Nothobranchius furzeri: one gene and its partner. The protein of the gene in region 2 interacts with the protein of the main gene of each other region in a pairwise test. Links are inferred from orthologs where the notes say so. Each region holds a gene or a part of one and is shown on either strand. Other genes may lie near its edges.

Region 1 (4,202 bases), on a different chromosome or scaffold from region 2:
TTAAAAATAGAAAATAAACCACTTTTTTTTAAAAGGGAAAAGAACACTATAGGAATATTCTGACCTGAGTTCCTGCAGCTGTGTGCACTGTTTCAGTGTCTCCAGCAGAGCAGGGGAGTAATTCATAGTTTTCAAAGATCCCAGGTTGGCTAAAGACAAAACTCTTAAGTCTGTGCACCGTCTGGCCAGTTGTACCAGTCCTGTTCCTCTGAGAACTCCAGGAAGTCCAGCCAGAGACAAACGGCGCAACTGAGGCAAAGCTTCAAGTGCCGCCAAGTGTGCGTCTCCAACTTCCCTGGCCCAGGCGCACATACCACGAGGCTCCACGCTGGCACGAGTGCAGGGCTCGAGTCGAGGCAGCGCTGAGACAAACCCTGGCCCAATAACCTCTAAGGTTTCTAAAAAAGGGCAGCCAGCTACTAGCGAAGACAGCCCTGAAGTGCTGTCTCCTGAGAGAGAGGATTCTGAGTCAGGTCTGTAGTTCTGGAGCCCCACTCGAGGAGCTTTCTTCAGTCCCTGAAACAGCGCGGAGGTAGCTGAGCTGCAAGACGAGATGTGATTTGTGTTCACACCGTCAGACAGAGCGCATGCAGGCAGGGTGAGAGAGCGCAGCTGTTTGAATCGACCCAAACTGGTACACAGGTGTGTTTCTCCATCCAGCGCAAGTGTGTGTTCATGATGGTAGTGTGTGTGCATCAGATTCAGGTGCTTAATGTTGGAACAGACTTCAGCCAGCTGACTCAGGGTCACAGTAACCAGCTGATCTTCTACGCTCCTGCACTCGGAGTAAAGAACGTGGTTGATGCCGCTGAGGTTGAGGCTGATGAGCTCCGTGGCATCTCGGACTCCTCCGTTCAGAAGCGACTGGAACACCTGCGGCCACAGAGCGGGGCAACGGCTAAAGCTCAGGTGCTTGGGGCTGTTCCCCTCCAAGGCTCGCTTTAGAGAAAAAGAATCCAACCAGGATCGAGGGAGCTGCAGAGCCACCAGGTCTCCTCTTTGACCCAAACTTTGAGCCAGCGAGGAAGCAGCCGGCCAGTGAACCGGGTTTGGACCGGGAATCGACACGAGGAAAACTCTGAGATTCTTTGGAATGTGAACACTGAACACCGCCAGGTAAAGAAGGAGCAGCGTCTGGTTCACCTGCAGCCAACGAGACACGGAAACATCCCGTACAGTGTTACAGACAGGACTGGGTCTTGTTTAAATGATTACTAACACACTCACCTCTCCTGGAGCCAGTCTGGCTGTGAACTCCTCCAGCTGTTCGTAATGCGGTACACTGCTCTGACCAACCATTAACTGACAGCTAACACCCACACCCTCTCTGGTCACATCTGGGATGTCAAACTGCAGCATTAGCCTATCACACACACATACACACACACACACACCAGAGAACCAAATCTTTATATCTGTAACCCGGAAGCTTAAAACAGAAACTCACAAATAAGTAAATCCCATTCCAGTTGCTTGACAGTCATGGTAGCTAGGGTGAAGAGATATTTAAGGATGATGGCTTAAAAACAGCTAAATATAAGCATCTGTCTTGCAAGTCCTTACTTGCGAAGTTTTGCACAGCATGGCACAACACCATAGCTTGGTGTTAAGAGCGTCTGTTTGAGCTCCGTCAAGCGGCTCAGCGAGTCCACCGCTTTTGAACTGAGCAAAGCAGAGTTAAAGCACGGTCTCACATCAAACGCCAGGGATCTGAGAGAGGACAGAGAGGAGAGGAGGTGCGACAGACAGAGATAACTGATGCGACAGCCCGTCACATCGAGGTGTGTTACTGCTCTGCAGCGTGCCAAATGCTCCAGTGTGGAACCAGACAGCCAGTAGCAACCGTTCAGGCTGAGAGACAGCACGCTGTTGCCAAGCTTCTTCAGGATGTGTCGAACTAACCGATCATCAGCCTTAAAGAAAATGAAAAGTTAATGAGACAATCATGAAAAATTCCTCATCAGCACCAATCAAAAGAAATCAAACAGCTTTACCAGATATTCTTCAGACAACGTGACGTTTGAGAGCAGGGTTTTGTCGTGGCAGAGTGTGTAAAACTTCCGGCAGACAATTGCAACATTCGTCAGGCGGTCACACACTGGAACGTGATGAAGGATACACAGTAGGATCTCATCAGACAAGTTGGACATCCCAACAGACAGAGACGCTGTCTCTGAGTCCAAAACAGCCTGAGAACGACAGAAAGATGTCAGGCATGTGATTTGGGTGATCTTCGAGCTTTTTAAGACGTTGCCATTCTTCTTAACTTCTGTAACATTTTAGTACATGATTTTAATTAGAAAACAAAAAAGCATTACAATCTAAATGGCAACAAAATGCTGATACAAGTAGCCTGTTCATTTACAAACATGTTTTATTCATTTCATTGAATGTGGCAGCTCTGACACGAACATAAAATAAAATGCTTACAATCATATCTGATTGTTTCATAGTGCTAAGGACTGGGACTATCTTTCTGAGACCATACGCAGGGCAATTAGATGACAGACGGAAGATGTTAGAGTAAAAAAGTTAGCAACAATGTTCGCTTTAGCGATAAAATTTACATCATTTTTTTTATGTTCCGCGGTAACCAAGTAAAATCCGTCGCGTAGAGGTTTGGCGCAACACCTACTTGCAAAATCTGTCCATCCATTTCCTTTGTCGCTCTCTCCAAAGCCTTATCTAAGATTTCTAAACAGGAGACCTTCACCTAACAGGTGTTTCGATAAATAAAAATTTCGCTTTTACGTCTGAACCACAGGTTGCTGACCACGAAACACCTAGACGGAAGGATTTTACCGCTGCACTGCACATGACGGAAGTCACGGAACGATTACCCCTACGGACTTACTTCCTGTTAATCCAGGAAAAAAAATAAAAATAAAAAAACATCTGTGTTGTAGACACAGCAGGTTTTCACAAATGAACGCACAAACAGTGAAACAAAGATTTGTTTTACCTGGTCACGAATCCGTATATTTTTATTAACCTTTGCGTTTTAAGTCATCTCAAATCAAATCAAAGATACTTTATTAATCCCAGAGGGAAATTAGAGTTTCAGTACACACAATTCTGAGATCAGACATACATGGGCAAGACACATGACAAGAATTGGTGATTGTGGTCATTCGCAACCCTGAGTCACACTACCTTAATAGAGATAAGAGGGTTACATGAGTACTGGTTCAGGTGGAGGGAAAAAAAGGCACTTCAAAGTTAAGGTTGGTTTATGCTTGACGCATTCACTTTCCACTTGGTGATGCGGCTCGCGGATGGAACGCGCTTCACAACTCGCAGCGTTTATGGTTCGTGCGGCTCGTCTCTGCGGTGAGCCAATATTCTCTCAAACTGAACGGGGCTGCATGGAGCTCTACAGCATGCATCCAACACTACACCATAGTAGAAGTAAAAATTACTGTTGTTTACAACATGGCATTCCAGCAGTTTTAAACAGCGTTCTCGTCTTTTCCAACAGTGCGAGCTTCTCTCCAAGAAATATTAACAACATGTTGATCACGGTGATCTCTGAGAGCTGAATCATACAAATGTCTGTAGTTACGAACCTCTGCCTTACTAGATCTTGCCGGTCCGCCATGTTTTTCCACATCCGACCGTCCGGGTGGTTAGAAATTTTCCTAGGTGTGCAGTGCGGAATTTTGGGCCGTGCGGAGGCGCGGTGGAGGGGCGTGGTTGTTAAAATGACGCAATTTCGCCGCACGGACCTCGCGGACCAAGCTTTACCCTCTACCGGGAAGGCAGCATTGCGCTGCAAAAAAAAAAACACCTCAGACAGAGATATGCAACAGACTTCAGACAACACAACATAAGTGTTCACTAGGTGGGGTGGTGGGTATGGACTATCCCAACTTCAGTTCCTGCAGCCACGATGAAGCAGCGCATGGGGGTGGGGGGGTGGGTGGGGGGGCATTAAGGGTTGGAGGGTTGCAGTGACCCTGGATGCTTCAGCGGCCTTCCTGCTGTCCCGCCCAGGCTGGGAAAGGAGGTAGAGTTGAGTTGCCATAGCGACGATACATTCCACGTATCTTCTGAGGGGGGGGGGGGGGGGGGGGTTTGTTGGAGCCTCACAGGCTCAAGGACGCCAGATTCCAATTAGAAATTGTTTTGGGGCCAGACAGAGATAACTTCTTCTCTATCTTACAGTTTGTTGGTCCTCAACCTCTCAGAATCCCAATAATGGA
Region 2 (2,593 bases):
CAGAAATTATCTGACTCTTTACTACTCTTTGGCTTAAAGGTAGATGACTTTGGACTGAAGTCCGCTTTGAACTTAGAATAGTGCCCTCTCTCTTTTGCATAATGTTGTGGCGTTACCGACATGACACTTAACTGTGTTTTCAGCTCTTTGACTTCTTTTCTTAACTGTTGCACTTCGCTGCTTGTGTCTGATTTCTCTTTTTTCTTTTCTCTGGACATCTTTTTGTGGCTTGACTCTGTAGAATGAGACTGCTTACTGAGCTCTTTCAGCTTTTCTTTTAGCACTTGAATTTCGGACTGAAACTCATGTTGCTGACAATCTCTGGAGTCTGTTTCACTTGCTACTTGCACTGCATGCACGTGCTGTCTCTGTGCTGGTTTTTTCAGTTTTTGTCTTGCAGCTTCACGCTCCTCTTCTTCTCGAATTTCTTTCAGTAGACTTAAAAATGTCGGGGGATCACTTCGCTTACCTCTAAGACCTAGATGAAGCAGCATGAAGTCTTATTCAGTAGCACCTTTAATGAGTTGCTCAAGCCTTGCTCGGTTGGCTTCATCTACTTGTAGGCCTCCTTTTTGCACGACTTTGTTCAGTAATCTTTCCAGTCTCAGCAAGAAGTTAGACAAGCACTCCCCTTGTCTTTGATGCATAGCTCTGAATGTGAGATACAGTTCCTCACCGGATTCTGCGGTACCAAAGGTACTTTCCAATGCCTGTATGCAGTCCACATGGTTTGCCAGGGGATTAGACATGCGCACTGCTTGAATGATCTCCAGCGCTGGCCCTTTGAGACTCTCAATAATTCTTCGGCGTTTCTCCTTATCTGAGCACTCATACTCATCAGTCATGAACTTTACTTGTTCTAGCCAGCTATCCAAGTTGTCTTCACCAGGTGGAGTAGGGTAGACTCCTGAGAAGATTCTAAAACGACGGTATAAATTGCTTTCATTTGGCTTGGACTGCAACACATCACCTACCACCCGAATGATTGACTCAGGGCTGCTGTTCCATGGAGTTCTAGGATCACATAGTCTTTGAACATCCTCCATTGTTTTCCCTTCATCACGCAGAAATCTGTCCAACTTCTCTGTGAATAGGTCGGAGTTCGTTTCTTGCTCTGCAACAACTATTGTCCATTTACTTCCATCCTTAAAGGAAATCAACTCTGGCGGAACTTTGGTAGGATCGACTGCTTCACAGCATTCACATAACATGGTCAGGGTTTGATTATTGGCATCAAACATTTTTCCTCTTACTCTTACCTTGCCCAAGGTTTTTACTTGTTCGAGTGTTTCTTCTACTGTGGATAGGTCCTCCTCTTCAGGCACTCCGACAACTAGAATGGCATGTGCCTGATCGAGCCCTTCACCTCTGCACCAATTTGCAAGATTCGGTTGTGAGACATCACTTTTAGTGGCCATAGTTTAACAAGTTACTTTGTAGGGGGAAAAAAAAGATTAATTGAAGTTGCTTTTTAGGACCAGTGTTACTCTTAGTTACTTTAAGGTTACAGCAGATTTAGTGGTAACTTAAAATGTAGATAAAACAACAACAATCCCAGCGGTGCCTCCAAATGTGTAGCACCCAACTCAAGTAGCTCTGGATTAACCCTCGGTTAAGATGGTGATAGTACTATGAGCGGGGCCCTGGGTACATTAACTAATCTTATTGGTAAACAGGAGAAACAATGACTAACCAGTTTTAACCTTTGTGAGCTCATTCACTGAAACCGTTGCAGGCCTGATCGTTGCTTGGGCTCGTTGGGCCAGAAAACAAACAAATGGCCGCTTCACTTGATAACCAGCAGAAAACAAAACACACGTGCTCAGGTCTACTCATGAATCCTTTGGGCTAAGTGCAAGGCAAACGGAGGGGCAGTCTTGGTTGGTGACCATGCGGCCTCCACTCGGCAAGGTGGTCGGAATTAGCGGCATACCCGGGCTGCTGAGTACACTGGAACAACCACACAGAACTCCTATCCACAGCAGAAGAGTCCAGAGAATTCCTCTCGGTCCACTGTGCATTAGAGATTACTATTTAGTTCCACAGAATAAGCTGTATCTTACGTACTCGACATACATAGCTATTACAGGCTCTAAAATGCTAACATGCTAACTCGCGATTAGCACCATACATTTTAAGTACTTATACATTCCGTTTAAGCTCAATGCTAACTCCACATTCAGTACTCACTCATCACAGGGTAAAACAGTCCATAACAGGAACGTAGACTCTGCATCCACGGCTATTATTTCACTATTCTTCCATTAGCTCTGGTACACAACCTCCTCCCGCAACGTGCTGCTGCCGACTCTCACTAGCTTCGCTGTTTTTTCTTTCTTTTGCCTCACTTAGCTCCCGCCTCCCTTACGTCTGATTGGACAGTAGGTTTACATCAACCAATGGGATAAAAGAAAATACAAGATTGACAACCCAAAATGAACTTGTAAAACAACTTGAAACAATACAAAGTTTTCCTTGTTTCACATTAGATAAACCTTTAGTTTCATTGTTACTTATAACTCCATGAACACTCAAATTATGATTGACTTCTATTTATTGTGATTTTAAACACATTTTTAACCATTTGAACTCC

What was found.
Region 1: the proteins of paraneoplastic antigen Ma1-like (region 2) and fbxl18 interact in a two-hybrid assay, tested with the Homo sapiens proteins (2 studies listed by BioGRID). The two-hybrid records come from large-scale screens. The link is inferred for Nothobranchius furzeri from reciprocal best matches to the Homo sapiens genes PNMA1 and FBXL18.

What each region holds. Positions count from the first base shown.
Region 1 is NC_091744.1:14,834,208-14,838,409, reverse strand, and holds the start of fbxl18 (F-box/LRR-repeat protein 18), read right to left. Parts: upstream 2,801-4,202; 5' UTR 2,657-2,800; coding exon 2,636-2,656; intron 2,190-2,635; coding exon 1,995-2,189; intron 1,914-1,994; coding exon 1,564-1,913; intron 1,364-1,563; coding exon 1,228-1,363; intron 1,144-1,227; coding exon 65-1,143; intron 1-64. UniProt on the Homo sapiens protein: Substrate-recognition component of the SCF (SKP1-CUL1-F-box protein)-type E3 ubiquitin ligase complex.
Region 2 is NC_091745.1:26,674,385-26,676,977, forward strand, and holds paraneoplastic antigen Ma1-like, read right to left. Parts: upstream 1,419-2,593; coding exon 501-1,418; downstream 1-500.